Tribolium castaneum: one gene and its partner. The protein of the gene in region 1 purifies or fractionates together with the protein of each later gene. This does not show direct contact. Links are inferred from orthologs where the notes say so. Each region holds a gene or a part of one and is shown in the gene's direction. Other genes may lie near its edges. The genes, in order: GlyRS and IleRS.

Evidence for each region.
Region 2: the proteins of GlyRS (region 1) and IleRS fractionate together in Homo sapiens (co-fractionation; 3 studies listed by BioGRID). This does not show direct contact. The link is inferred for Tribolium castaneum from reciprocal best matches to the Homo sapiens genes GARS1 and IARS1.

The regions. Positions count from the first base shown.
Region 1 is NC_087398.1:11,177,479-11,193,842, forward strand, and holds GlyRS (glycine--tRNA ligase), read left to right. Parts: upstream 1-7,044; 5' UTR 7,045-7,157; coding exon 7,158-7,400; intron 7,401-7,447; coding exon 7,448-7,794; intron 7,795-7,842; coding exon 7,843-8,154; intron 8,155-8,261; coding exon 8,262-8,359; intron 8,360-11,151; coding exon 11,152-11,366; intron 11,367-11,418; coding exon 11,419-11,583; intron 11,584-11,640; coding exon 11,641-11,894; intron 11,895-12,370; coding exon 12,371-12,495; intron 12,496-12,541; coding exon 12,542-12,706; intron 12,707-12,753; coding exon 12,754-12,941; intron 12,942-13,486; coding exon 13,487-13,597; 3' UTR 13,598-13,667; downstream 13,668-16,364. Other genes in the region: calcyphosin-like protein, read right to left, coding at 1-49, 95-304, 3,279-3,614; guided entry of tail-anchored proteins factor 1, read left to right, coding at 6,427-6,525, 6,576-6,983; p23 (prostaglandin E synthase 3), read right to left, coding at 13,837-14,254, 14,305-14,391. UniProt on the Homo sapiens protein: Catalyzes the ATP-dependent ligation of glycine to the 3'-end of its cognate tRNA, via the formation of an aminoacyl-adenylate intermediate (Gly-AMP).
Region 2 is NC_087403.1:5,643,229-5,659,471, forward strand, and holds IleRS (isoleucine--tRNA ligase, cytoplasmic), read left to right. Parts: upstream 1-7,746; 5' UTR 7,747-7,864; coding exon 7,865-7,995; intron 7,996-8,041; coding exon 8,042-8,349; intron 8,350-8,395; coding exon 8,396-9,141; intron 9,142-9,186; coding exon 9,187-11,625; 3' UTR 11,626-11,717; downstream 11,718-16,243. Other genes in the region: Na(+)/H(+) exchange regulatory cofactor NHE-RF2, read left to right, coding at 1,201-1,689; uncharacterized protein LOC662426, read left to right, coding at 4,784-5,098, 5,723-5,947, 5,999-6,443, 6,492-6,913; lgs (protein BCL9 homolog), read left to right, coding at 12,594-14,112, 14,169-14,397, 14,607-14,797, 15,066-16,243. UniProt on the Homo sapiens protein: Catalyzes the specific attachment of an amino acid to its cognate tRNA in a 2 step reaction: the amino acid (AA) is first activated by ATP to form AA-AMP and then transferred to the acceptor end of the tRNA.

The DNA.
Region 1 (16,364 bases):
TCGAGGCACTGATGGCCGAATAATAATTAAAAAATTCTTCGTGGGTTACCTACAGAAATTAATTAAAACTTTTGTTCAATCTTCATTAACCAACCTGTCCGTCTTTGGTGGCGTCCTGTTCAAAATTTGCTAGAAATCGTTTCAGAATATTTTCCTCAGTTTCTTCGCCTGAAATGTATCGAGGATGGGCTTTGACGTTGTAAACATTTTTCAAATCGTCTATTGTGATCACTCCGTCTCCCGTTTTGTCCATTTTCTTGAACGCTTCTTCAACGACTTTCTTGCGTGACTCAGACATTGGGGGCTGGAATAAAATATTCAGAAACTAGGTCACAAGCAACAAGTCCTTGATCTAAGTAGTGTTTACGCGAAATGTGGTCGCTTATTTACTGAATTTAAGAGTCTTGGAGCTTTGTGTATTGATGATTTAATGACAAATCATTGGCGAATAATTTGGAAAAGTAAGGTGTTTCATGTTTTAACTTCGTATGAAATGATTTATGAAACTTTTTCAATCAATATTAATTTAACGATCGATTTTTTTGAATGTTTCAAAGTTGAAGACCACGTTTGCATGCATCCACAGTCCTTACAAAATAAGAGATATTTTAAAATTATAATTTCGACCTTCCCCAAATAATTGAAATACTTTTAGTTTTTTAATTATCACTCGAGTGAAAAAATTATAGTGCAACGTGAAATAATTAATACATTTTATTAATCAGAAATAGATTTTACCTCTAAGTAACGTAATTACGAGCAATTGATTGTTTGCAGCATGAGCGAAGGGAGTAGGAAATTACATTCCAAATAAGTTAGGTACAATATTTTTTGTAACAAATAATTCAGTAAAATAAAAAAAATATTTTTCATAATTTCCAAATGGGTTGGTGAGTGGTTTACTAGTGTAGTAAGAATTATCAAATTTAATAAATGTCATTTTTCGTAAAAAAATGTCGCGTCTAATCTAACGGAAGCAGTATCTAATAATAATAAATATTCCAAGATGTTACTGAAAAGTAAAAAATATTGCAGTGAAGAAAATGCTTGTTTCCACCCTCTGAAGATAACACAAAATAATTATCTAAAAGCTATAGGTAACTACAAAAATAATGTTTACGGTAAACGCTTTTTATTTAAGGGTCTATTAAGCTCTTTTTTACTTTGCACTTAGAAAATTGTTATTTACAGTGCTTTTATTGTCACTATTATGTGTACACCTACATTAATCGATTTTTAAAAATGTTACAAAGTTGAAGACCGTAACAACATGTATGATTTATTGACAATAATTGCAAAATAATTTAACATGATGAGTTTTACGCTCGCCGTTTCACGTAAAATTTTTACTTCTACAGAAACGAAATGGTTTTTAATTTTTTAATTACGTTCAAGTTATATTTCTAATGAAAAAAATTATAGGTAACATGTTTTTTTACAATGGGATGTCGTTTCATCACAAGCCAATTTTTATTTCGTTTTAAAGATCATGCGATCATTTGAGTTTATAATAAGAGTAGGCGTTTTTTCCTTGTGATTGATAAACTAGTGCAAACAGGGGGGAAAATGTATTATAATTAACGATTAGGTATGTTATTAGTAGATACTTCTGCTTGATTAATTATCATTATCAGAGGTTTATTCATATAATTTAAAAACATATTATAAAGAGTAAAGCCTACTCTAATTATAAATTAAAATTATCACATAATAATAGTATTTGTAACCGACTTTTTAAAACTCAATAGTTTAATGTTTAAAATACAGTAACATAATTAGGTCAAAATACAAAAAATGAAAAAAATATAAATACAAAAATATAGTGATGACATTTTAATAAAGAAAAATAAAGTGGCCATCAAAAAGTTGTTTTTTCTTACACAAATGGTGTTTTCGCCTGTGTGCAGGTTTGTTATCTGTTTATAAAGACCCGCTATATTTTTTCAAATTAAGAAGTAATAGACATTTGGGGTAAAAGTGAGTATAACTGATATAATAAAAAAAATCCAATAAATAAAGCAACAAAAAAATATTTATTAATTTTTTTTAAGTTTGTCACAAAACGTTAAAATGGCGTGTAAGAAAATGATAATGAAAGTAAAATTCCTAAAGTTATTGTTGCTGTATTTGGGAAAATAGAAATTTAATTGTTTATAAAAAAGTATTCTAAAATATTGTAGGGTTCCTGCAAAATATTTTCTGATAAATGAATTTTTAAAGTCCAAATTCATTATTTTTAAAGCAAATACAACTTGATCCAAAATTTTGTAAAAACGTAAATTTTGTATTTATTCTAGCACAACTTTAAGATTAAGATGAACATAAGGTGTCTGTAGTCAAAATGTTTTGTTTCTTTTCTTCGGCGTACAGTTTGCATCCTTGGAAAATTTAATTTTCTTGCAATTTTTTGTTTACCTAAGCAATTTAATCCGTTTTTTTTTCAAAATGTGTTACCCCAGTTCTACTTGTTCTCAGTATAGTACAGTTCAGCCTTAACTAAACGAGTAAAATTTAATAAAAATAGCAATCTGAAATGGTTAATGCCTTTTCTAAAAAGGTAAAGACCACAAATTTTACAAAGAATTTTTATGGGTACCCCTCTCTAGCCCCCTGAAAATGCATTTTTAAAATTGGGTCGAAACCAGGGTTGGAAATAAAAATATTATTTACAAAGTAAGAAGTAAAGAAAAAAACATTTTTTGTAACTTTCTTGGCATTAGAATAAATAAAAGCTCTTATTATTTATTCTAACTTGTAATTTATAAAAGAGCCATTTGCATAATTTTAATATTGTAATAGCAGAGGTGATCAAGAAGTGAGTTGGCAAACCTGAATTTCACGTAAAAACGGTGCAACTGGTGGAACTTCCGGTTGCCCAAAGCAATCAAATCCTATAATAATCTATATCAGTGTTACAAACAGTCGAAACGAAAATTCTTTTGAACCCACACATTTTGAAAATGTTTTTTATCGCCCTTTTTTATTACATACTTTGTTAAAAGTAAAAATAAAAAACATGTTTCATATAAAAATCATTAATGTTATAATCAGATTATAACGTGTTTTTCTCACTTTTTATACACAAATAATGTAATAATCAATACATAAGTATTTCGTCCAGTGTACCATTATTCATGAACGTTGACGATATATCCCGTTATTGATTCCCCCTATCTTGAAAATTATTTACGACCAATCTATTGAATTATTTTCGACCTTATTTAGATTTGTTGTCGCGTGCTTTCACCACAATCAGTTGATATCACAAAAAAACTCACCCTCAAGTGCACTAGAAACTCAGTCATGTTAATACTCCCGCTGTTATCGTCGTCAAACTTTTTAAAAAGATCCAACGCCTCTTCATCCGTCAACTCCAGTCCGGTTTCCCGGAGTCCCCGGACAAACTCATCCTGATTCAGCTGCTTGCTCCCATCGTCGTCCATTCTCCGGAACATGCGACCCATTCCCAAAATCCCGTTCGCTCCTCGCGACAAACACAGTAATCGCAAACGGTGGACTGGATCGCCCCCGGCACCCAGAGCTTGCAACTCCCGGAGGCTCTTCGATGCCATTTCGGACTCTTGGCGAGATGTTGCGCTCTTCGGCCGAAACATACTAAAACAAACGGCGGAATTTTTGGTTAAGATGATGCTACGACTTACAATTAAGACAGTTTTCGTTAAACTAAATAATTTCATTGAAACGTTTCAAGGCAAAGATGATTCATACTTACTCTAGCGCAACGTGTGGTATTTCTGCAATAAATCAAGGGAGTTTTCGCAATTTTATAGGAAAGTAACTGTTTTGGAAATTATCAAAAAGCTAAGATGTGGGCGTTGCGGTTGTTTGATAACAATTTAATTGCGCATAAAACCGATAAAAAATATTCTTGTAAATTGAGACAATTACCTGTTGGTTATCTTTCCGTGTGCAGTACCAAAAAGCGACTGTTTTAATTATTGTGATAACAGGTAAGTGCTATCAGGGTGTGTGAAAATTATCACCTGGGGATTGCGATATCGATCAAACTCGCACTTTTCATTAAATTATTAAAAATTTACACACTTGATCCAACTAAATTAAATTATAGATTGGTGCTTCAGTAGTTTGAAAGCTACTAATCTTAATCTTTACAATGATTTGGACGTCCTATTTGTGGGTGTAGTGTGATCAATCGTGCGATACATTGACAATAAACTGTGTCTCAAGTTTTAAAAACGTTTATATCGTGATCGACATTAGGGTTGAATTGTATTGTTGCCAGGCAATTTCTTTCAATAACAACAATGAAAATGAGGATAGGACAGTTGATTGCCCGGAAACGACGATTAAATCATTTATTACTTAACGGTTGCACAATATTGGCTTTTGCTCTAGCTATTTATTTTATTGCGGCTACATCTATTAGCCAAAATAATACTAAAATGTTTGCTAATAACTTATTTACACCGACAAATCGATATCTAATATTATCACTGTGGAAGCTTTTGTATTTATTTACTTTTGTTGCTCCGTCAAGTGACGACAAATTGAAAACGTTCAAAAATTGGCTCCAAAAGTTAACTCAATTGTGCCATTTCATAATAACCATCAGCATTGCCAACTCTACGCAATTCCACAAAAAGTGACGTTTATTTACTCAAATGAAACCTGTTTAAAGTGGTTTGCCTGACAATAAAATTAAATAAAAAAAACTCGGATTTTTTTTTTGGAAAATTTAATTCTCTTACACTTTTTTTGTATCTTCAACTATATTCGCAGCGTTCGCAAAAATATAAGATGGGACGCAAATCAATATTTCTAAGCGATAATTCTTTAAATTTCTTATAAACAAGTCACTGATACCATATTTCTATTTTCAACAGTTTAGGTATATTGTTACTCCACTACTGATAAAATTAAAGGAATTTGTCGTTTGAAAGTCTCTAGGGCCTAAACCGTTGAAGATAGAGATATGATCTATATGACATTTTTAAAGAAAATTTAATTCTCTCCAACTTTCTTCCTTAGATTTTTCTTGTATCTTAAACCGGATTCGCAGCGTTTCAAAAAATACGAGACGAACCATAAAATTTAAATTTTAAATAATTTTGTCTTATGTTTCTTATGAAAATTTTAGTCGTCAGTTTTTCTCAGTCTGTTAAGAGTGCAAAGCTCAACATTTCTGCATTTTTTCCAAGTAATTAGTGAATTGGTTGAGTTTAAATTAATTTAAAACAATTTGGGTCGAGATGGTATAACGCTCAAAGCGACCTCATTTTTACTCTACTGTACTAATTTTTTGGGTTCAAAAAATCTCGTCTCGTCTCCTATATTATAGTTCTCCGTAATATTTATTCTCCGATTGTTTTCAAACTCAAAAAGTTAATTATTTATCTGTAGGCGGAAATGAAATGGTCTTCACGCCATAATTTCAGAAGAAGAAACTACAAAAAGATCACATCTTTCAGTTCTACTCAATTAATTCAAACAGAAAACAAAGCGACTTTCTAACGACTGTGTGATCTTGTATCTTTAACCGGATTCGCTGCGTTTTAAAAACACGGGACTATATCCTATTTTATTTCATAATAGATTTTTTTGGCACAATTTTGCACAAATTGGGAGTTTCTGAATAAGAAAAGAACTCTGTGTTAAGCTAAATTCCAGCGACAAATTTTGAGCCAAGAAAACGCACCAGAAACTCCAAAAAATGCAAATGCGTTGTTGCAAAATTCTACAATGAAATGAAATGGGATATAAGCTCAAACTTTAAATTTTAAATAATTTTTTTCTCATGTTTCTCCCGAAAATTTTAGTCATCAGTTTTTCTCAATGTGTTGGGAATGTAAAGCTCAACATTTCCGCATTTTTTTTCTAAGTACGATGTGATATAACGCTCGGAGCGCCCTCATTTATATTCCGCTATACTATTTTTTTTGGGTTCAGAAAATCCTGCGATTTTGTATCTTGTCTCCTAAGTTATAGTCCTCCGTAGAATAGTCTTTAGTCAGAGTGTTTTCCTCTTTGCTTAATCTTTTCTGGTTTAGAAATAAAGATTATTAGCACACCACAAAAAACTGTGAATTAAGTCGCATTTAAATTTCCTATTTCTGAATATTCCATTAACTGCAAGAGTTATTATGTTTAAAATTACTACACCAGACGAAACTTTAAAATTAAATCTCGGTTTAATATTTAATTTTATTGAGAAATTCTCTTTTAATTCACTTGGTTGAAATTCAAATTGTAGGACCACCAACACAATCACAAAAATGTCACCAGCGGTGCCAGTGGCGTAGAACTAAAGACACCAGAACACTAGTTTTTCATGTCAGGTTTTTATTTCCTTGTAAACATTTAAAAAACACTAATAATTGTTTAATTAATGTAAAATGTAAACCTTAACACTACTTTTCCACCTCCGTTTAAACCAATTGTCAAGTCATGGAGTCACAATCTGAGTGTTACTTCAACATTCCTGTTTTGTTAATTTCGACGATTGTTAGTTTTTTAAGTGTCCATTCAACAATAATCGAAAAACCCGTAAGTGTTCTGTGGCCCATGTGGTCGTTTAAATTAATTTCCATTTGCAGGTTTTTAAGTGGCTGAATAAGCAAACAGGGAAAGAAAGGGAGCTGCAGCTCCAGAAACTTGCGTTAAAAAATGAGCAGTCATCTCTCAGTATGGTGGACGAGTTTGCAAAATACTCAAAGCTTCAAAGACGCATCAATGTGATTGATCGAGAACTAGAACAGATAAAAGGGGACAAACCAACCAACAGTTTTGTCGTACAGTTGGGTTTCACGTACGGTGTCAAGTTGGTCTTTGCCTTGTTGTTAATACTGTTATCGCTTTATTACCGGTACACTCCTGTGCTATATCTAGGCGATAAAATCAGTTTAACGCCGTTTACGAACTTTATTTGCTATCCAAATGACGCCAATTATGTGTCTTTTTACTTTTGGGCGATGTGTTGCGTGACTGTGGCCCGATTAATTTAATAAATTGTCTCAAAATTGAGTGTTTTTGAGTTATTTTGAAAACCCCGCTCGTGAACAGTACCAATCACCCACCAAATAAACCGAAATTCCCAGCCGGCACATGTGCTCATTCCTTTCACTTTTGCACTAATTAAAAAAAGTCTGCCTCGTGGCAGTTTTCTACCAATCCAGTCAATGAAATTCTCCCATATTTCCCAGTGTTTCGCCAAATTTAGCCACTTGTCAGTCTTGTCCACTTTGTTGGTTAGAAATTGTGTCACCGCTCGACCACTTTGCATCAGTTCAGTTGTCTCGTCGAAAAAGTGGGGCATTAACAAGAAGCACCGAAACGTAAAATTGCAGTTGTATTTTGACTCGATGGCGGACCCCCAGATGGAGGAAATTTTGGCCCCCTTGAGGGCCAGTGTCAAGGAACAGGTCGGTTTCAGCCTTTTCTTTGTCAGTTAATTTATCGCAAATTTTAGGGCGATTTGGTTCGCAAATTGAAGGCGGAAGGGGCCCCCGTTTTGGACGTGAAAAAGGCCGTTACGGAGCTGAACGCTCGAAAAAAAATCCTAGAGGAGAAAGAGCTGAGTTTGGCCCCACAAGTTGCCACTTTTGACAGGGCTAAAATGGAGGATTTGTTGAAAAGGCGGTTTTTTTACGACCAGTCGTTTGCGATTTATGGGGGAATCACCGGTCAGTTTGATTTTGGGCCAATGGGGTGCGCGTTCAAGGCCAACTTACTGCAAGCCTGGAGACAGTTTTTCATATTGGAGGAGCAAATGTTGGAGGTTGATTGTTCAATTCTCACTCCTGAGCCCGTTTTAAAGTACGTGGTGGTTTTGGGGGAAAAACGTAAATTATTTTTTATTTTTAGAGCGTCCGGACATGTTGACAGATTTGCGGATCTTATGGTTAAAGACGTGGGGACTGGCGAGTGTTTTAGGTTGGATCATTTGATAAAAGCCCATTTGGAGAAAATCTCAGCTGATAAGAGGACCACAGATGATGTCAAGTCAGATTGCCAGGACATTGTTGTAAAGTTGGATGGAATGACGAAAGCGGAAATGGCTGCTGTGATGCAGAAATACAACATGAAGAGCCCTCTGACGGGGAATGATCTCACAGAACCCATTGAGTTTAATCTAATGTTTGGAACGCAAATCGGACCTTCGGGACTTATCAAAGGGTACAAAATTGATAGTGGCTTGTGATTAAGTGAGCACCATTGAATTATTCAGTGTTGCCAACTTAATTTCGAAGTCACAGGGCACTTTACAATATTTGTTTTTTAAGGTTTTTGCGTCCAGAGACGGCACAAGGCATTTTTGTTAACTTCAAACGACTTTTGGAGTTCAACCAAGGGCGTTTGCCCTTTGCTGCCGCTCAAATCGGTGAGTTTTGTAGTTTTTCAGTTAATAAAGTACCAATTTTTTCATCAAAGTAACCCGTGATTGAAATTACGTTGGCAACAGTAAATATTCTGGTCTGCAAAAATACTTTTTTTTCCTCCTTCTTTTATTATTCTGCGTAACTGTTATAAATTGAATGCTCCTGAATTTAAATTTAATAACATAAATTTTGTATCATAAACTTTTTTATATTAGCTTTTTATAAAGGCATAACTGAGAACTTAATGATTGGGATGATAATTTACAAGTAATGTTATACGTCGTTCCAAAATACTAAAAATCATTTCAAAATATCTAACTCATTGCATATTAATAAAATAAATTATAGTTTATTCCTTTGCATATTTTCAATTGAACTTTTAACCAACAAAAATCTGCTATGATCATTGTTTCTGGCGATCTTCAGACTATTTCTTGTTGTATCGTCTCTCATCTAAGTGTAATATACTTTGATGACACCTTTCTTCGGTAAAGAAACCTAAGTGTGTGGTAGAAAATGAATGATTGTCCCATATTTCAGACATTTATGGGAAAAACTCTTGAATGATTTCCTGGTGGGTTTTCAGCTTTTTAATCTACCCAACACCTAAAAATGTTTTTGTGTGTACATACATACTTAAGTACATACATGACTCAAATGAGTTAAAGTAGCGTAAATTTTATGCGAAAACGAAACACAAGAAATATTGAATTCTGAGAAATTAGAACAAACATTAAAAAAAATCTATCCGTTATAATAAAAAACTGATATAGATTCAACACATTTAAATATTCATTTTCATACTAACTTTATTTAAACGGCAGACGATTGTTGTTAGATTTAAACGTCACACTTTTATAGTCAATAGTAATTGTAGGATTTTTCAGAGTTTTAGCAAAATCTCCCAGAAAAAAAGAGTTTCTAAGGGTTAAAAAAGCTAAAAATAATGACTTTTAATTTATCTTTGTGATTTTTTATTTAAAAATAAACTAAACCGAGCGAAACTACATATATCCTCGACTTTTATTCATTAAATTTGTCATTAAAATACTTGACAAAACAAGTTTTTATCACATAACTCGGAATGTGTTAAGATTTACGTTAGGGTCTAATAAGAAAAAATGTTCATTTTCTAATTCCCCATCGAATGGTATAAAAATAAATAGGGGTTGTTGACATTTGAAATAAGCAAAATAAAAGGCTCTAAAGTTTAAAAAGTTTGGAAGTTAATTGTAAACCCCCTGTAGTAATTAAGAGCAATCAAATCTAATTAATAAATCTTTTAGACCTTGTTCAACACGTACCTAGTAATAATGTCATCAAATAACATTCCTCGTTTTTTATTAATTTTTTAACGAAAAGTGTACAACCGATTTTTTGGTTTTTATTTCTTTAAAGTAATCTCTGAACCGATTTGAAAAAACTTTACGGACATGTGAGAAGACGAGTTAATGTTCTCTGTCCCTAAAGTGCGAGATGCCACAAATCAAGTTTCGATAGAGTTGCTTCCGCAAAAATCAAAAGAAGTGTATGAAAGGGCATAATATTAAAGATTTGAAACTAAATACTTCAACGGCCGAAAAATATTTCTCGGCCACGTCCGAAAAAGAAGGGTTTTGGTCCAGATTTTCATGCCGAAAAATTCTATCTAATGATACAGTCGAATAAAAAAAATACGTTGACGTCATCCTTTTTTTGGGACACTGTATGTATATTCACAAAATGTTTTCCTGAAATACGTCCTTGGGTGTAAATAACGTCTACAAAATATCGAAAGTCCAACTTTACTTATAACTGAACTACAGAAGACGGAAGCTGAGCTGGGCCACCCTGTGTTACCGCTTTCGAAATATTTTTTTTTGTAAATTCTGCCATTTTGATGCTTTAATAGGTATATTAAAAACGAGTGGCGTTAGCGTTAGTTATAATACGAGTTTTTTATTTTACTTTTTGTAATTTGCCCGCTTTTTGCTCTTTTTAATCAAAAATTGTTATTTTAGTCGATTTCAATGCACTTGATCAATGCAATAATGATCCCTGTGTATTATCTATAGTTATAAGCTGTTTCAAAACTATAAAAACGCCAACGTCGCATTTTCTCAGAAAATTAGATTTTAACCAAAATTTGTGTTAATGCTTAGTATTTGAAATAATTAGGTTTTTCTGACAAAAACACACTTAAAAAAACATTACACATAGACAGTTCCTTGAAAAGTACCTAGGACTTCCCCCCACTTTAAAGGAGAAAGTTCAAACTTAAATCGGTACCAGGCATTGCAATTAAGAACTTAAAAAAATTATTAAGTTTGTTAAAAGTTAAATAACTTAAAAAAATTAAATGAAACCTCTACTTTTTGTAAATTATTCATGCACTTCAAAAAAATAATAAATAATAGCTAATGTATTTTATAGTTTCAGTAAGAGCTAATATTTATTAATAACTATTTTACTATTTTACAAATCTTATTTAAAAAAATAATTCGGTAAAATGCGACGTTAGCGTTTTTATAGTTTTGAAACAGCTAATATGTTGTAAACGAGTACATTTTTTGTAAAGGAACTAATTCAAACTTACAAGCACCGCAAGTGGCACAGATTAAGGGTTTCTACCCCCGCTATTATTATTATGATTATTATTATTATTATTATTATTATTATTATTTCAAATGTGGTAATTTCCCAAATCAACAGATGAAAATCATAACTGTGTCCGGTATTGCCGACGTAATTTCAAAATCACGGATCATTTTGATCACAAATTTGATTCAAAGCAAAATGTAATGTTTTTATAAAGGAAACGCTTTTCGCAACGAAATTTCCCCCCGTTCTGGTTTGATTCGCGTCCGTGAATTTACAATGGCCGAAATCGAGCATTTTTGCGACCCTGCTGATAAAAATCACCCGAAATTTGATAGCATTCGGGACACTGAACTATTATTGTACTCCGCTTGTAACCAAATGGACGGAAAACCGGCGGAAAAACTGACAATTGGCTCAGCTGTGGATAAGGTTTGGTAAAATTTTTGGCAAAATGCCTGAAAAAAAGGTGGTTCCGTTTTAGGGATTGGTGGCTAACGCGACTTTGGGGTATTTTATCGCACGTATCCACAAATTTTTGGTTAAATGTGGCGTTGATGAGAAACGGTTGCGATTTAGGCAGCATATGGCCAACGAAATGGCCCATTATGCGCAAGATTGCTGGGATGCCGAGTGTCTCACAAGCTATGTAAGTTACAGGAGGAGAAAAAAAATGTATTCATTTCGTGAGTCAATTTTTTTGTAGGGTTGGATAGAGTGTGTGGGTTGTGCCGATCGGTCTGCCTTTGATTTAACACAACACACTCAAGCTACAGGAGTTCGATTAGCGGCGGAAAAAAAATTGGCTGAGCCGAAAATTGTCGATGTTGTTGAGGCGACCCCTAATAAGGGGGTTTTAGGAAAAACTTTCAAGAAGGATGCGAAAATCATCACGGATGCGCTCACACAATTACAAGTTTCGGAAGTTGAAGCTCTTGAAAAGGATTTAGAGAGTAATGGGTGAGTTGTAATGAGTCGTCTGTCCTTGTCCGTTCAATAGAATCGTAAATGATGTGGTCTCTGTTCAGTTTGGCAATAATTCTATTAGAGATAGGCATTTGAAAAAAATAATTGGTTTAACACATATCGATGACTTAAACTTTAAATTAAAAATTCAATCTCATGACAAGATTTTTTATTTGTGTGTAACATGGTGTTTCATACAAAACACAATGTGAAATGATTTTTAAAGGTTTAAAAACTTTGATGAGGAGAAAATTAATATGACATTAAGCAGTCATTTAATTTTTAAGTAAATAACTTAAAAAATAAATATATTTAAATTTTAGTGACCCCCTGACTCAAATAAAATCATCTTCAAGTATACCGGGTGTTTAAGATATTAGCTACAATACAAAATTGTTTTTAAAAATTAAACACCCTATATTTTTTTTCATTTTAGGATGTAGCCTATTATAGAAGATTTTTGCTTTTAGATCACACGAATTAACAATTGATGATAAAAAGTTCACTCTGACGAAAGAAATGGTAACTGTAAAACGTTACCAAAAGACGCTCCATGTGGAAGAAATCATTCCTAGTGTTATTGAACCATCGTTTGGTAAGGAATTCATAACGAAAAGAATTTTTTTATTTATTGTGAACAGGTGTGGGACGAATAACGTACGCAATCTTCGAACACAATTTCAAAATGCGTGAGAATGACGAACAGCGGACTTATCTTTCACTGCCCGCTTCAATAGCACCGTTAAAGTGTAGTGTACTTCCCCTAAGCTCTAATGCGGAATTTGCACCGTTTGTTAAACAACTATGTAAGTCATTTGATGCAATAATAGCAATTATTACGAATTTGTTTCAGCTACTGCCCTAACAAAAGTCGACGTTTCACACAAAATAGACGACAGTTCTGGTTCTATAGGACGCAGATATGCCAGAACTGATGAAATCGCTATACCATATGGTATCACAATTGACTTTGATACACTCAAAGAACCACACAGTGTGACTTTGAGAGAGCGCGATTCTATGGCGCAAGTCAGAATTCCGGTAAGTTTTGGTTACCGAGGACTATACTATAAGTTAGGAGGCGAAACGAGATACAAAATCCGGAACCTGCAGTACTTTTTTATAGGAAATTTAATTCTCTACAACTTTCTTCTTAAAACTCTTCTTTTATCAATAACTGTATTCACAGCGTTTTGAAAAATATGGGGCGGAGTGCAAATTGGTTTAAGTTTGTAATTTTATTAACTATTGTTTACGTCAAAATTTTTGCATTATTTTCATTTCTTACTAATGATAATTTAATGCTCTATCTGTCTGTATTTTTTTAGTTTGCCTTGTGCTAATCGTTATATAAATACCATTTTTGTTTGTGGAACAACTGCTCCCTCTGGCGATATTGATGGAACTATCGAGTTCGCGAACGTTTTATTTGTACGTTGTTTCGTATCCTAACCTTTATATGTCTGTAGTTATGGCGCCATATGTATTGTTACCATAGTTACCAAATTAACATAACCATGGTAACTGTAACGTGGCTCCCTCTCGGACGAAATTAAAGCAGTGGTTTCACCATCTATTGTTTGTAGCTGGACGATATTGCGACAGTTTTGCACGATTTGTCGTACAGTAAAAAATCATGGGCCGATATTGAGGGCAAATACCCGAAGTTCGAGCAACAGGAAAGCAAAGGAGTTTGAGGGAATTGTCCAGTTTTAATTTATTATAATTATAAGCTTGAATGAAATTAAACACCTTGGTACCTACAAATGTTTTTTATTCACTTAATACTTGATAATACACATGATGAACGGTTGGAAGGAAAACTTTAGCACATTTAAACACTGAACAAAGAAATAAAATCCGAAGATACCACTAAACATTTTATTGTTAACTTAACAAATGAAAAGATACAAAAGGAAAGAAGTAATTCGAGTGCTTATTCAAGATCGGGAATAGGTTCATCGTCTGAATCAGCACCATCACCATCTTCTAAATCATCAAAGGAGGGCTTGTCCCCGCCGGCCCCCAGGCCTCCCATCTGCCGCATCATCTCCTCGAAGTCGCCGCCGCCCATTCCGCCCATGCCCCCCACGCCCTCGTCACCCGAATCGTCCTCGTCCTGCCACTTGTTGAAGTCACATTTTAGCCAATGGTGCTTCTTTTTATCAGAAGTCAGCGCAGGCCAATAGGAATCGTCTGAACTTGCCTTAACTAAGATTATTTCAATACACCGGCCCCTATTGAAGCTTTTGCTCTTTTCCGGGTCTATTTCTTTATACAGGGGGATTGTGACTTCGTAAGTTTTCTTCTCAACGCCGCCAATGCCTTTGAAATATACAGAGTCTTTCGTGAATCTGCAACAGAACCCGTCACCACTCGTTCCTCACAGCGCAACCACTCGTACTTAACATCGGGGTCTTTACAGTCCTCTAAATTTATCGTTAAAAAAACTACGCCAGTTCTTTGGGCCCACATCACTGGGGGAGGTAACCTAAAAGTGAGGTTAGAGACGCCATTTTAGCACACCAACCGTTACGTCGCCAATCACAAAAACGTGCTTTTATGTAAATATTCAACCGCGTTTAAAGCATTCATCGTAAATCGCAATCATAATTACGATTATTTTCGAATGTTCCAGAATCGATTATACACAATGCCACAACATGGCCGTTGTTGGGAAAAAATTCGAGACAAATAACCGAAATTTGAGTCAATCACGGTCCAATTTCAACGCTTTTTAGTACAAGAAAGCAAAACTTACGTTTGTTGAGTCATTTCGGGCTGTATTAATTTAAATTAAATAAAATAATACGTCCAAACACTCCAGTCCAGACCGGGAAACTGCGTGAAGTTGTAACGGTTGCGTCAGGCTGACACGCCAAAGTCACTAGATTCGCCCGACCGGCCTGGAGCGCGCCAATTTCGAACAATCCCATTTTTGCAAAATTGCGCCCAAACCGAATTGTTTAAAGACACGGGGGCAAAGGCCCCCCCTTTTGGTTTTTAGCGACAAAAAGGCGCTTCTCCCAACAACGTGAAACGATGTCGAGTACCACGTGGTCGTTTCCTACCAATTAGAAAGTCCGCATTTCGCGGCAGGTAGTTACAAATCGTCGAAAGAGCGACACTGCCAGTGCTTTTTCACGTTTGTTGTTAGATTGTTGATTAACAATGCGCGTCATAACGTAAATTTTCAACATAGGTTAACTGGAGAGGCAAGGGTCACTAACGGCCGCTTCTTATTAAAGTAAATTGGGCGTAATTTGAGAAATCGACCATATAAGCTCGATTATTCTGCTCTGATTAATTTTGTGCGGTCGTATGGACTTTGCTAATATTTTGTTTTGGTGCGAATCCAACCAACAGGTTGGCCTTGTCTGAGAATTTGATTTTTTCAAAGTGAGAAAGTTTGTGCAAATTTGTGGATTAAAATGCTTTATCTATGGTGAAGCAATTAAGAAACGGAATGTCGGTTTTTAAGGACAACAATTGGGTGAGTCTCAAATTTGATTTTTTTTCAAGTTCCGTTTAGTTGTGTATTTCATTTTCTGAGCGTACTTTACGATAGCTAGGTAATAAAATGCACTGGACTGTTTTAAAATAGTGCGTGTCGGATTTGTAGATTTTATGGTCACAAAGCTTGTCCTTAAAATAGAGAAATTTCCCTTGTGCAAACTGATAATATTATTATTTACTCAATTACTAATTTTACTAAAAAATTTTGAACGATAGGTGCATGCGTAATAATTTTATACTTTCTATCGTTAAAATCATTGTGTATTACCTATTCAGGATCGAAGGAAATCTGTTTTATGGCAAATAGGTAAAAAGGCGATTTAACATCGTTCTCACCGTTTGAAGGTAGAGAGAACGTTTGCTGAGGCATTTCACATGCAACAAGGACTTTATTAATTATTATGCTCAGAGTTTTATAAATTTCATTGCAACGCAAAATATTGCAAGATGAGTGCTAAATATTTAGTTTTTGCACAATTTTGTGAGAATATAAGCTAATTAACTGACTAACTAAATCAACGATTTTTCCCTTAAGAATTTTCCCAAATTAAGTCATAGACTACACTTGATGACCTACAGTTATATCAATTATCACATCCGCAGTTAATAGAACGCCAACAGGAAGTTGGCAAAACTGCGATGTTTCGCTTATTGTCTAGAGTAGACAAACATTTGTGTAAAAATTCATAAATAAATTATTCCACTTAAATATGCAACCAAAGCTTAGTCTGTATTTTTTCTTAAACCCTATCAAACAAACGGATGCAGGCAATTAAACTACTTGTGACACCATCATCAGGACATCCCTGTTACTTTTTGGGTACAAATTGGGCACAGTATTTTATTTAAACGACAAATATTTTTGATCAGTAAGAATAATAAATGCACAGTAAAAATAATAATTGCACAGTAAAAATAATGAATGCACAGTAAAAAGAATAAATGCGC
Region 2 (16,243 bases), on another chromosome or scaffold:
GTCAAGAATTACATTATTTTGAGAAACAATTTTTGTAAATAAGTTATCCTAAAATAGGAGAAGAAGCACGTAAATAATCATTTTTCCCTCTTTCGAACGCTTAAGCACATTTTTAAGCTAAAAACTTACTTGTCTTACGTAATTTTGCTTAAACAGATCGAGAAATTATCAACGCGAGTCAAAAATTACGTTACTTTTGCTTTTTTCGAGCACTTTAAAATACGATTTTCAGTCAAAAACTGCAGCTTTTTGTACAAATAATTCGGCAGAACATACGACGAAAATTATGACCTCCTTTTGTTTCTCTTCCAGTCTTTTTTACACGTTTTTCCTCGCGTTTTTCGCAAAAAAATCATTTATTTAAAGTTAAATAAAGCTAAATTCAGTAATAATATCATAGTAAGCTTCCACCACTGCAAAGAGATAAACAACACAGAAAAACCGGAACCACTTTCAGTTTATTTTTGATAGATTGATATGTTGATAATAACATCAAACTAAATATTTTATTGTTATCTTGTAGGAATTCCTGTGCCACAACCGACTTTTAGCTTAATCTTGGGTTGAAAATAATAGGAAACTCTCAGTTTCAGGGATATTATCCATAATTAAGAGTAATTACTAAACAATTATAATTTTGTTATGCATGTTTCTTGCAGACATTGTAATAAATACCACAGTTGTAGTTGTTTTAATTGTTGTTTTTGTACCTAATAATTGTTGGACATAAGTTTCCTGTATATGTATCACAAATAAACAGACTCGCAGTCATGGAGTATAAAAATAGCAGTATTTCATTGCCAAAAGACTGGTGATGTCTATTTAAAGTTTAAAAGCCTGATTGGTTTGGTGGTTTTTGGGCATTGAAGGCGCTGGTTTGTGCAGGCAAGACGTATCGGTCGGTGGGCGTCGTTGGTTGTATGTTTGGAGGTTGTCGTTGCAGCATGAAGAGCTGTGGTAATCGACAATCGTGGATGTCAAAGCTGTTGTTGAAGGCGGTTGTCGGTCGGCGCGGTCGCGGGAGCGGGGCTTGCTCACTTACCTTACCACTTCCAGTATCACATTCTAGTTACCAACCATCGTACCATCGAGCTGATTGGCGACCGTGTGGTGCACCTGTAGAGTCGACGTCGACTGTGCGCGATGTTCGGATGTTGTTGCGCTCTTATCAGTGATTAAATTGTGGCAATCGATCGCGTGATGTCTTCCGAGGTGAAAAACCACCACCCCAAGGCGCGCCTCTGCCACATCAAGAAGTGGGACCACTTCGACGGCTACGGCTTCAACCTGCACGCGGAAAAGGGCAAGCCCGGCCAGTACATCGGCAAGGTGGACGACAACTCGCCCGCTGAAGCGGCCGGCTTGCGGCAAGGCGACCGCATCCTGGAGGTCAACGGCGAGCCCATCGCCAACAAGACGCACAAGCAGGTCGTCGAGCTGATCAAGACGCTCGCCTCCGAGACCAAGCTGCTCGTGGTGGACCCGCACGACGACGGCATCATCCCCACGGAGCCGGACAAAGAGAAGCTCAACGACCAAGTCAGCAAGAAGGAGCACGAGAACGGGACGCTCAACCTGAGCATGACGGCCGCCGAGCTGCGGGCCAAGCTCGCCTCCAAGAAGAAGTTCGACCCCAAGAAGGAGTCCATGGACTTCAAGCAGAAGTTCGACATCGTGCAGAAACTCTAGTGACGAGTGGACGGTTTGCAGCCAGTGCTATTAGGGACACTGAGTGACCTTGGGAAAATAACGCTCAAAATTCTCCTATTGAGTATATACAGGTGTTACATAAATAATAATAGTGACATTAAATGATGCGGAACTGGACACGCAATCAACGAAGCACCTCTCGGTTTTCCCCTTATCTATGCATCGATTCAGTTTGGAAACAACCATTATCGTGATTCTATTATTAATTTTATCGGTTCGCATGAAGTGACACCAAATGCATTAATTCGTCTTTGACTGGAAACCCGTCAATGCCAAATATGCTACGATAACACAAATTACGTTCCAACAATTGATTTCAGGATATAATCAACTAAAACAATACCCGTGAGAACAATTAGTTTAGTTCAATTTTAGGAATATCTTTTACTTTTAGTTACTATGAGATTACGACTTATTAGTTATGTTTTTACCCAGAAATTTTGTAAAATATGTTATATAATCTGTATAAAATAAACTTATATAAGACCAAACATCTTTCTTTCATTATCCTTATGTCTGGGAGATGAACACAACATGCCTTCTTTCTATTTGGGTGAAGGTTGCCCACCATAGCGGAACTCAAATCTTGTGACGACGTTTCTTATGACTCGGCACGTTTCACTTCTCGACCACCACTACCATCACACACCAGCAATGGCATTAAAATAAAAAAAAATCTAAAGCATTTTTCATGGTTCATATTGAATTAATTCAAATTTATCGAACTGGGTTCCAAAATCAATTATTTCGCGAAAAATAAGACGAATTTAGCCCGAGATGCGATTGCGTTTTTCAAGAATTTATGCACGTTGTTGATTTAAAAACACAATTACTTCGAAAAGTTATCGAAATGTTCGCCGAATATGTCGAAGATTATGTTTTTCTGGTCAATTTGCCTGCTTAATTACATTTTTGAGCTAAAAATTTTTTTAAACACGAACGTGAAATCACAAAATGGCGCTTAGAACAAGAAAATACGGAGTGTTTTTATGGACACATCTTTAAAACGGCTAGCCGATTTAGGTCCGTTTTTGACGTGATATGATTATGATTGTCTTCCATTTTTTGGCCCCCGAAATGTTCATAACAGAAAAAAAACAATAACTTGCTCTAAATTTTTATATTGAAATAATGCTCGCAGCAGAAACTTGATTGAACCATAAGCTTCATTTCATCTCGATTATGTAGGGGTCTATCTTCTAGAATAAAAAGATTCTTGCATCTTGAAACTTTCACACAGAAAACTGCAATTTTCTCAGTTTTGCTCATCAAAACTAAAGCTTCCGCATATACGTTTGACTCAACATTCATTGTGGAATTTTTTGCAAAAAAAATAAATTTCTAACTTTATCAAGAACGAAGATATGAGGACGTGACTACACAATTTGCCCATTTTAGATTAAAAAAAATTAAAAACTCATTTTTAAGACAATACCAAATCAAAAAAAACGACCAATTTATTTAACCAGTTTTCAATTGTTCCAACATACTTGAATTAAAAGTACTAAAATTAATTGCTTTCTTATCGTTATTTTTACAAGAGTGCTATTTTGGTTTCCTTCCATTTAATTGAGCCTCCAGGAGTCCGCGGCCCCCAGTTTAAGAATCACTGACGTCTGGTTTCCTATAAAACAATCGCGTAACAATTTTTCTAAATTTTAAAACCTAACAATGCATCTTCCTTTACAATCTATCATTGCAATCACTGCGTGTGAAGAAATCATGCAAGCAGACAATGCACTTCCTGATACGTCCCAGCAATTAAGCAGCTCTAAGTGCAAATAGGGCTCACCTACGCCGGCCCGATTTTTCCCTGACTAATTGTCGCGGAATGTCAACAATAGTAATTTGATTGATTAAACGCGTCGATATTCCGGGAATGCCACTAATGAAGTGGAACTACAAAAAGCACGCATTGCTATTCCACTGATTCAAAAATTTTTTAGAAAACACTGAGTTGAGTCATCGCAAGCTAATTATGTGAGAAAGATTCCAGCAAATAAATAATAAGAAGAGCGATGAATATTACACAAGGGAACAAAAGTGTAACTTAACTGTTACAACAATGGACTCTTTCAAAATTTATTGAAAAATTCTATTTTAATTAACTGCACTCCAGTCTTTGATTACACGACGCGGTAAGCAGATGGAGGATAGCAATAAAGCTTGTCCCGTTACGAACTTCGCATTTTGCCAATGGTAAACGATTTTATCTTATTCTTGAGCTAATATTTTGCTAAGTTCAGGCGGATGCATGAAAATCAAGTCAAAAATGCTTCACTTGTAAACAACAACCGAAGAAAACCGTTAGTTACTTGAAAAAATATTTTTATCAGGCTATAATTACCCGTGCACTCGACTTTAAACTCTTCTATTTTTACGATTGAGAAAAATAGAAATGCCACACTGTGGATAAATATGGTTTTCGAAAATGACTTTGTCTTTGTATTTGTCTTTTTTGTGATATGACACAATAATTTCCCTAATTGTTGCAAAAATATCGCTTGACCCTCGAACAGCTATAATTTCGCTATCGGACATGTTTATAGACTTTGATATTTTCTGAGTTAAAATTTATACCCACGTTTATTCAAGGTAAGTCGATCAAAAATAACGCAGACATATTGGAAAATTGCGATTTTTGAAAAGTTATTTATCTGAGCAGTTAACATATTGGTGTTAACCGCGTAACCATCAGATCTCTAACGTTTCTGTGTCACTTGTGTGAGGTGTTAGCCGGTGGCAGTAAAATCACAAGATAACCCTCCACTGAATTACATTTATTTAGGCTAATGTGCGGTCGAAGGACGCGGCAAACGACGAATCTGCTGGTTTTTTGTTTTGCAATGTTTGAAACAATAATGCGAATGTTTTGCGCCGCACAGGTGCAGGCATAAATCTGCATGGTAATTCTTCGGGCCGAAGAATGCGAAGATGCGTTAAAAATCAATTCGATAATAAACACTCGACGAAGGCAAACAGGTCGTGAAATAAGATAAACCTTGAGCATATTAACATAAGGTGAAAATAATGATGAAAGTTGTGAGCAAAGGTCTCAGTATTGCAGTCCAGCATGTTGAGTGACACAGACGTTGAAGACCACTATAGTCCGTCTGTGCGGCTGATCACTCTTGAGAGAAATGGCTCCAATTGCGGATTCCACCTAACCAGGAGCAAATGGGACCCCTATCCGTGGGTCAACTCTGTCGAGGATGGCACAGCTGCCGACTCCGCGGGCGTCAAGCCCGGGGACTGCCTGCTGGAAGTCAACGGCGAGGATGTCGTGGGCCAGAGGATCAGTGAAGTGGCCGAAATAGTGAAATCAAAGCCCAATCAAGTTTCACTTTTGTTGTGGAATGCCGGTGTCGATCCTCAGTGTACGCCCGAGGTAAAACAAACATCTCACTTTTTATCAATTCTTCGCAGACCCGTCCGACTTTCTTTCGGTCTCTGCGGTTTTACCCGCAATTAGAAATTTTTGCATGCACTTTGCGTCCCAATTTTAGTGACAGAATCCACCGTTCATTAGAATTCTAGCGAGGGGCTTCTACGTGAAGCTAATTGTGTCAGCGCTCAGATCATTTCTATTTACATAATTATTTCATTGTTTCGCTATTACCAGCTAATAAAAATTCCATGTTAGTGCTAAACATTCTCACATTTAAACACATCCGTTACTTATCTTATCAAGTATCCTCCCCGTCAAACGATATATTGAATCAGCTTACCGCATATCGTGAAAATAATAGTTCTCTTGTGAGTTCGCTCCATACTTTGAAATTTCCAGTTACTTGGCAATTTTTGGGACATGACAAAAAAACTTGCAGTACCTAACTGCAGTTACAGTAGAACTCAAATAACTAATTTTGAAATTGCTTTTTAAAAATCGGGTATTTCCTTAACATTTATTAGTTGAATTTGGTTTTTCCATTGCGGAGTCGTCAAGAAATTTTTGTTAATTTTGTTTGGCGAAAAATTCGGCGTGTAATTTTGAGCTCAAATCCAAATTTAGGCAGTTTGCTGCGGACCCATGCCAACGAACCTCCAGCGCTTGTCTGCATGCATGTCTACGATTCTTGCGTTTTTGGAGTGTCCAGTCTGCCTAGACACAATCCCTCCACCCACCTACCAGTGCGAAAACGGCCACCTGATTTGCATACGCTGTAGGGCGAAGTCCGAGAGGTGCCCCATCTGTCGCTTAAGATTCAGCAGAGGTAGATCATTACTAGCAGACCAGGTGCGTTATGACTTATGACCTCACCCAGGCTTTTATATTCAACTGAGTTAGGTCTACAATGCGTTGGTTGACGCCTTCAACCTGCGGGAAGAACCAGACGACAGTCGGACCGCGAAAATGCATCAGATTTTCAAAATGAAAACCAAGAAAAACGTGCCTGATATCAAAGTGACCCCGTCCCACACAACGAAATTTTTGGCCCGACTTGTCGGAAAAGCGAGCTCGGTTGATAATCTGTCCGGAAGCGCAAATGATAGTGACTTTAATCTGAGGACAAAGTCGCTCTCAAACCAGGAAATTTTCGACGCGGGGAGTCCTTTGGTGTCACGGACGAACTCCGTGAACAGGATGAGCCGAAATGAGAAAAACCAAAATTATCTCAACCCAAATTTTCGCTCAGTGTCGTGTCACGGCTCCTTTGAGTCGTTGCACAACGCCGGTGAAGACATCGCTTTTTATTGCCCATTCGCGCCGGGATGTACGTCCCTAATTAAAGGTTCGCATTTTCGTAATAATAAGCAGTTAGCTAAGTTTATGTCCACAGGAAAAAAAGTAATCGAGCACTTCCAGTTAAGCCACGACGGACCGTTAGTACACTATTTCAAATCGCAAATAACAATCGAGTTTAGCAAAATTTTGGAAGAGCAAGACTTGTGTTACGTTATCCAACTTCAGCAAAACACGTTTTTCCTCAAAATTGAGAACAGTTCCGAAAATGTACTTCTCTGGACTTGGGTTCTAGAAAACGGAAATGTTGCAAAAGAATTCGACATGCACGTCAAGGTGTTAATTGGGGAAACACACGACGTTATAATAAGTGTTAGAAATAACGTGTTTTCACTCAACTGCACTTCATACCAAGAGATAAAGGGGCTAAAAAAAGGTTTACTTGTTAATACTCGGGCCATAAATGGCGCGATAAATGATGTTATTTTTGATATAGCGATTTTAAAAAGTGACGTATGAGCTGTGATATTGTTTCTAATTTATAAATATTTATTTGGAGATATTGTTTGTTTGAATTCGTTAATAATAAAACGGTTTTTTCGACGCTGTTTTGCTTTTCTCTCCTTAAAACGCTCAATATTCCATCTATTAATCGAGATATGAACACTAGATCAGTAGACCAAATAACGGAGTTATGGTCTATTACAGTTACACCTATCATTTAGAAAAAATACGACGCTTGCTCATGGAAGGGACATGGGCGGATTTTTATATGCACCAGTTTTTATAACATGGGATTAGATGGGTGGAACAAAATTCGTTTCATGGGACATTCACGTAACAGCCACGTATTTCACAACCATTTACATATCACGCAGCTAATATTTATTGAATAATCTGCGTTAAAATATAAAAGTTATAATTAGAAAGGATCGGAATATTTAAAAGGCTCAAATTAGAGTGTGCGTTCTTTTGTAAAACCCCGCATTTTCAAGTTTATTCAAACGAATGAAGATAATAAACAAAGTAAAAGTTTATTTTATGTAAATTCTATTCCACTACATATTTATGCAAATCCAGGCCGAATTAATTAAATAACAAAATGTGAAATATGAACAAGCGGGACTGTACCACTTCGGGTGCGCACGTAACGCACTGTGAGTGGCACGAGACCATTCGAACAACTCGCCTCTTGCCTAGCTTACAATTTTTAATAATTGTTTTTAAACGAATCAATAAAATTTATTGAATTAATTTTTTGAAACATTCAAGTCAATGGCACAATAGCAAGTTTTGTTTTGTCACTTATTATTATAAAATTCCTGAAATATTTAAAATATTTCTCCTGGTGTTTTCGTTTTCCCCCAAGCCAGTTGGCAGTGAATTTCATCATCCGAAAAATTGAGGTTGTGTCGTTGCACGAGCATAATATGTGATATAATTTATTGAATTAGTGAAATAGCTCGCACCATGCCTATTCAAGAAATTCCCCGTGTGCCGGAAACCATAAATTTCCCATCCGAGGAAGAAAAAATCCTGAAATATTGGACGGAAATCGACGTGTTCCAAACATGCTTGAAACAGTCGAAGGGAAAGCCACGGTAACTTGGCATGGTTTCGAGTGAACGTGCCTTAGTTATTTTGTAGGTTTTCGTTCTATGACGGCCCGCCGTTTGCGACCGGGTTGCCCCATTATGGGCACATTCTGGCGGGGACCATCAAAGACGTGGTCACGCGTTATGCCCACCAGCAGGGCTTCCACGTGGAGAGGAGGTTCGGCTGGGACTGCCATGGGCTACCCGTGGAGTACGAGATTGACAAGACTTTTGATATTAAGGGCCCGGATGATGTAATGAAGATGGGCATTGACAAATACAACGCCGAGTGCCGCAAGATTGTCATGCGGTACGCCGACGAGTGGGAGAGGATCATTGGGCGCATTGGACGCTGGATTGGTAATCATTTGGACGAAAAGGCCAAACGTTTGATTGATAATTCCAGATTTTAAAAACGACTACAAGACGCTTTACCCGACTTTCATGGAGTCGGTTTGGTGGGTTTTCAAGCAATTGTACTTAAAGGGATTAGTTTATCAGGGCAATAAAGTAATGCCGTACTCGACGACGTGTAATACCCCCTTATCGAACTTCGAGTCGGGTCAGAATTACAAGGATGTTGTTGATCCCGCCGTCACCGTGAGCCTCCCGATCATCGGTCATAAGGACAATGCTGCGCTTTTAGTTTGGACAACGACTCCTTGGACCCTCCCTAGTAACCTAGCGGCGTGCGTAAACCCATCGCTTGAATACGTACTGTTTGAACAAATCAGCACCACCAAGCGCTACATCATGCTAGAGACTCGCATTGAAACAATTTTCCCAGCTGGGGATTATAAAATAATCCGGAAATTCCCCGGAAGCGAATTGAAGGGGCTGCGCTACGAACCAATTTTCCCCTACTTCGCCCACTTGAAAGACAAAGCTTTCCGGGTCTTGACAGACGACTACGTCACGTCTGAGTCGGGTACGGGTGTCGTGCACCAGGCACCGTACTTCGGGGAAGACGATTTCCGCGTCTGTCTCAACGCTGGGGTTATAACCAAGGACCAGGAACCCATCTGTCCCGTTGACGCCAGCGGCCGGTTCGTCAAACCTGTGGTGGAGTTCGAAGGGCTTTATGTCAAAGACGCCGACAAGAAAATCATCGCGGCTTTGAAAACCAACGGCCGGCTCGTGCACCAAACTCAAGTAATGTCCAAAGCGTTTGGAAGCACTAGCTAATTGTTGTTTCAGATCAAGCACAGTTACCCCTTCTGTTGGCGTTCCGACACCCCCTTGATCTACAAAGCGGTGCCGTCGTGGTTCGTCCGCGTGGAACACATGACCGAGGAGCTGCAAAAGGCCTGTGCGGACACCTACTGGGTGCCCGATTTCGTCAAAGACAAGCGTTTCGGTAACTGGCTGCGCGACGCCCGGGACTGGGCTATCAGTCGCAACCGGTATTTCGGCACCCCGATACCGATCTGGGCGTCGCCAAGCGGCAATGAGTTCGTCTGCGTTGGCAGTATCGCCGAACTCGAGCAACTAACGGGTCAGAAAATCACCGATTTGCATCGGGAAAGCATCGATCATCTTGAAATTCCCTCGAAAATTCCTGGAAATCCCCCGTTGAGACGCGTTCCTGAAGTTTTTGATTGTTGGTTCGAGTCGGGCTCTATGCCCTACGCCCAGAAACACTACCCGTTTGAGTTTAGTAAAGAGTTTGATGACTATTTCCCGGCGGATTTTATCGCCGAAGGGATCGACCAGACCAGGGGCTGGTTTTATACGCTTTTAGTCATCTCGACGGCTTTGTTCGGGAAAGCGCCGTACAAGAATTTGATCGCGAACGGGCTTGTGTTGGCCAGCGATGGGCAAAAGATGTCGAAGCGGAAAAAGAATTATCCGGACCCGTTGGAAATCGTTTCGAAGTATGGGGCGGACGCTTTGAGGCTTTATTTGATTAACTCGCCAGTGGTGCGTGCCGAAAACTTGCGGTTTAAGGAGGAAGGGGTTAGGGATATTCTTAAAGATGTGTTCCTGCCGTGGTACAATGCGTTCCGTTTCTTGTTACAAAATATTGAGAGTTTTGTACAAGACAACAATCAAGCGTTCTACTACACTGAAAATAGTGTCGCGCCTGAGAATATCATGGACAAGTGGATTCTTTCGTTCACTCAGTCGCTCCTAGAGTACGTCCGGAAGGAGATGCAACTTTACCACTTGTACAACGTTATTCCCAGGCTGACCAAGTTTATTGACTACTTAACCAATTGGTACGTGCGGATGAACCGGAAACGTCTCAAGGGTGAGGGCGGGTTCGACGATTGTAAAACAGCCCTACTGACGCTGTTCGAGGTTCTCCTAAACATTGTGAAAATGATGGCACCGTTCTCACCCTTCTTGGCCGAGACCATGTACCAATATTTGAAGAAGTTGATGAAGACTTCGGCCGATAGTGTTCACTATTTGATGTTACCGCAGCCGAATCATGCGTTGATCAACAAAGATATTGAGCGAGCCGTTGCCAGAATGCAAAGTGTGATAGAATTGGGGCGAGTCTTGCGCGACCGAAAAACAATACCGATCAAGTACCCGTTGCCGGAAGTTATAATTGTCCATCAGGACCCTCAGTACATTTCTGATATCCTCTCGTTGAAGGAATACATCCATCTCGAGTTAAACGTGCGTGCAATCAACACAACGACTGATAAAAGCAAATACGGGATAACGCTGAGGGCGGAGCCCGATTATAAAGTCCTAGGGCAGCGGCTTAAGCAAGAACTGAAGGCTGTGACTGCAGCAATACAGGCGCTGACCGATGTTGAGATAAATGAAATGGTTAAAGCCGGGTTCCGGGTCGTGGCGGGCCAACGTATCGAAATTTCCGAAGTTAGGCTCATCTTCAAAGCTGAGAGTATTAATACAAGTCAGTATGAAGTCAACAGCGACAACGACGTTTTGATTCTCTTGGACATAACGCCGGACAGTTCAATGCAAGATGAAGGCACGGCGAGGGAGATAATAAATCGTATCCAAAAGTTGCGCAAGAAGGCACATCTGGTGCCAACAGACCAAGTTTCAGTATTTTACAAAACGACTGGTGAACTAGATCGCGTCGCTAAATCCTATTGCGATTTCGTAGAGAATACAATCAAAGCAACGTTCAAGCCAATCGAGCAGCAGCAAAATTCCGACTTGGTGATAATTGAGGAAGTGCAACAACTGAAAAACTGTAATCTACAACTGGTCCTGACCCGGTTTTCCGATATTGTAATCCCGGCTAGTAAATGGGTTAATATCCAGCTTGTAGGCCTCGAGTCCAGATACTGTAACCAATCTCCTAAAGCTTTAGCTTTGCTTGAAGTGGCTAATAAGCCGGTCAGTTTAGATAATTTGCATTCGTCGGTTTTCCGACTCTTTGGCGTGGAACATTACAATCTAGTGAAAAGCAACGGCAAGGAAGTAACCCAAGAGGAATTACCTAACTTGTCGGGACAAACAATTTTTGTAATTCCGACAAATAAAGATGTTAAATTGCCCGAAATGAGCAGAGTACCTTTCTGCAAAGTTTTTAATTTTGTTGCACAAAATACCAGTGGCACGTTGATCTTGGAAAACCCCGCAGGGAACGAAACTTTAAATGAAAAAGACTTCAAGGAAATCATAAACCAGTGGATTAAATTGGCTTAAGGAGAGTTTAGTTTCTTTTTGAATATTGTTAAGTTTTTGGGTGTTTATATTGTATTTTTCCGTTCCGAAGTCAATAAAAAATTGTTTGATAATGTACTTTGTTTTATTGGTATTAATTAACAAATTAAACTGAAAGTGTGCTGGTCTCACGTATGTTTCCGTATGTGGAGAGAATTGTTTACTATTTTTGCGTCTATTAATGACGGGTTTTAAAATAAATAAACAGTGAAGTAAAAATAGCTACGTTAAAACCTCACAAGAAGTAAAACGTAACTGTAATGTTTAAAGACAATTTTCGGCAAATGGAAATATTTGCTTTAATAATAATTATCATTTGAAGTTCAAGATTAGAGGTTTTTATTGTAACAATTATAGTGCTCAGTTAATATTTTTTTATAAACTTTCTAATTGTGTTTATTTTATCGTTTATTTATGGTTTTGGATGTTTGATTTGATGAAATCGGGATTATAGTGGTTCTGATAAATTTGAAAATGGTGCTTGTTGCTAGTGATATTTGACGTTTAAAATTTAGTGAAAAATGTCAATGTTGGTAGCAACGCGTGTGGACAGTTTGGCATTTTGTGATGTGAGATTTTTGTTAAAAGTTTTTATTATGGTCTAAATGTTGAAATTCTAACAATCATACATGTCATTAGAAATATACGGTAGCAGAAGATTAAAATCTTCCATTTTCAGTGTTTGTGCAATGGTAAGAAAGACGAGAACACCTTGTATGCGTCTCTTCAAATTTGGTTAAGAGATGAAAATAAAAAATGATGGAATGCAAATAAAAACATTAGAACATATGTGATATGAAAGATAATTTAGTGGTATTCCAATAAACGGAATGGTTGAAAATAAATGTTAGTGGTCGAATAAAGGACTTTGCGCGGTTTTGGACATGATACAAGTGCAGTGTTAGTGTGTGTACAGCATGAAAGGAAGGGGTATGTGATAAAAATACGAAATGATCAAAGAAAAGCACGAGAAAGGGTCGGATAGCGTGAAGGAGGAGCCCGGCAGTTCCGATAAAGAAGCCTCGACGACGGATGTCCGCATAAAAAAGGAAGATGAAGCAGCAGGCAGCAACTGTGCTGTTAAGAAGGAACCCGGCCGTCCTGTCACCAAAAACGGCGGTATCATCGGCTCCACAAACACAGGCTCTCTACAGAACGCCTCTGAACGAAAAACCGAAGGTGAGGAGGCAACTTCAGTCGCAGACTCTGCAAATCTGACACTAAAAACTGAAGAGTGTATTGACAATGATCTGCCTGGAGATGCATTCTCGTTGGGGCTGTCCGGCCCACCTCCACATGCGACGCCCCCCGACGGAATCCAACCTCTCGCGAGCAACGTCATTAACAAACAACCGGGAAATATGGAAGTTCAGTACATGCAACAGCAGAGTCAGATTTTCGTGTTTTCGACCGTTCTAGCGAACACCGGTGCCGACGAGGTGTTGCAGGGCCGGTACGCATCGATCATTGCCTACCACTGTGCCCAACCGGGCACCAAAAAGTACCTGGAGAAGAACCCTCTCAAAGTGAACCAGTTCAACCGGCAGAACCACGCGCAATGGCTCAATGCAGCCATGATGAAGAACAAAGGCTGCACCCGCAGCCCTGGTCTAGGCCCCAAAACTCAGCCTTCCATCGATAATTTCCTCGGCCCCGACGGTCTAGATGAAATCGGCCTCGGCGACGGCGATCTTCCCTGGGATCAGAAGAACAACCATCATCTCGAAGGACTCGAAGGCGTCAGCAACGGCCTCCCTGACGTCGGCCCCGACATGGACGCTTGCAGTCCTTCCCTCTCAAACGTTCAGCCCTCGCTGCAGGGCGTTAAAGTGCCTGATGAGAACCTCACCCCCCAGCAACGGCAGCACCGCGAAGAACAACTAGCAACAATTCGAAAGATGCAGCAGATGCTCTTCCCCGAGAACCAAGCGATGGACGGGCAACCGCCCCCGGGAAACGCCAGTGCCATAGACATGCCCCACAACATGATGCCGACGGGCCCCGCCCAACACCCACCCAACGCCCAGCTGATGTCGAACCAATTAGAATGGCTGAAGATGCAGCAGCCCAAACCCGTGCCCATCGGCCCCGTAAGTTCCGGCGCCCCGCGGGGCGTGCCCACCTCCGGGCCCCGCCTACAGGGCCCGCCCCCACCTTACCACCAAACCCCGCGTTCGGCCAGCGTGCCGATTGCGCTGCAAAGCCCAAGCCCCGCCTCGCCCAATAACCCCACCTCTAATTTATCCCTTCCCTCGCCGAGGGCGTCTTCCGCCCTCAACTCTCCCGCCGACCCCAACCGCCAATTCGGCCTCGGCAGACATGTCAGCACCGGTCAAAGCCCCACGTCGCAGGACTCTCCCTCTGCCCTTAGACACAACCACAGCAATCCTGGCACGCCCGTTTCGTCACATCTGTCTCCCAGTGTAAATAGCAGTAACACCGAACCCACATCAACCCATCAGTCTTCAGGTTTGTTCGGTCATTATCCACAAATAAACAATATTCTTACATTTGCTATTCTTTAGTTGATGGAATGTTTGGGCGCACCCTCCAATCAATGGCACAACAAAAACAAATGAACACTTCGACGACTTCATGTTCTACAACCCCAACCACTGGGGCTAAGGAGCCTAATCTCATGCCTGTTCCATCTCCGCAACAAATACAATACCTCAACACGTTCGAAGGACAGGAACTAATCATACAAAAACAACCAAATACAAGTCTTAAAGAGAGAAATATTATATCTCCACCGTAAGAAATGCATTCATTATTTATTATTTCATTGAAATAAAAAGTAAACAAGCAAAAAAACTAATTGATAACAAAACAAATAGTTATTTCATCACTGCTATAATTGGTTTAGGCTAAATAAATTAGCTTAAACTGTTTTGATTTGTACACACTAAGCTGGAATACTGTTCTTCATTGAAATATTATTTATTTAAACGCTTGTTTTGCAGCATTCTGCCTACAACGCTTGATAGTGGATTCCCAGGCAATACAAATGATCTTCCTCACACTAGATTATCAGGACCTAATACTCCAACATCAATAGATGTAGGGCCTAGGTTTCCCCCAACACCCGGTGTATCGGCTGAAGGTTGCCGATTTCAAATACCAAGTCCACATACTCCTTCAACTTCGTCTACAGGTATGCAAATCAAAAAAACGAGGAAATGATGTAGAATCTTGTATTACAAAAGCTTTATTTACGTTCATGTAAGACTAATTATCACCTTTATGTTTTCTTAACGAGAGTCATTTAAAAAAATTACGTTTGCATAATAAATTGCTTAAAGTAATTGCAGTGTTTCCAATTTCTAGTTATTTTTGTTTTTATCAGTCGTAACGTTGAAAAATTGAACGAAAGTCACCCCAGTGACGAGTTAATTCGTTTTTTTTGCATCTTTTGTGTATAGGTGATAAATCTCAGCGACTGACTGGTCCGGGACCAACCTCTGCGCCCGGCCTGAGCCCGCAGACAGCCCCCGGTCCGACATCCGACCCATTGAAAGGCGACTTATTTCCTACTCCGAGTCCTCACATGATGGATGTTCCTCGTTTTCCGGGTCCGAACGCTTCTCCAGGTGCTAAAATGGGAGGAGGTTTCGTGAACGTCTCACCATCGGGCAAACCCAGTCCGTTGGAACTTCCGAATTATTGCGCCCGTGGTGACAATGTACCGCTAAATCCGAACTGCACGAGCACAATGACTGGCAATCCGAAAGTCTCGCATTTCGATCCGATCTCATCCCTGGCGCAGATGAGTCAACAGTTGACGAACAGCGTGGCGAGCTCGCTAAACGGCCAAGGCAATCAAGGGCCGGGAGGAATGATGAATTTCGGTTCACCCTCGATGCAGATGATGGACATGGGCGGGTGCCACAACATGCCCGACATGGACCAAGGCCCCATGATGGGCATGGCCATGCAGGGACCCCCGCACGGGTTCCATCCGAACTCGCCCATGGCCCCCATTCGCTCTCTCTCGCCAAAACTGCCAGGTGCCTTCCCCAACCATTTGCCTATGCCGAGGATGATGGGTCGACCACCGGGGCCCAATCCGTACAACGGAGCCAACGTACAAGTCAAACCTAACGCCCCCAACACCATTCAGTACCTCCCGGCGAAGCCCCAAGTGGGCAACGCGCCGGGACCCCGGGGGCCCCCTAGTCTCGATTTCCTGCAACGATTCGCGAACCCCCTTTGCAACATGGACTCAAAAATGCCAACGCAAAACCTACAGTACTTCCCCAACAACGGCCCCATGCAAGGCCCCGGTGGACCGATGCCGCCTCACATGGGCCATATGGACGGCCCCATGCAGCCCGACCCCATGATGGGCGGCCCGATGGGCAACGGCGCCGGGCCCATGATGGGTGGCAACATGGGCATGCCGAGCGGAATGCTTCCTATGATGAGAGGCCCCATGAGGCCACCCGGAATGATGCGGATGCCGCAGATGGGCTTCAACGGGCCGGCACCTGGAGCTCCCGAGATGTTCAACCCAGGCCCCCCCAACATGGGCAATCCGAATGCCCAGATGTTCGTCAGCGGACCGAAAGGCAGCCCCATGGGCATGGGGGCACCGGACGCC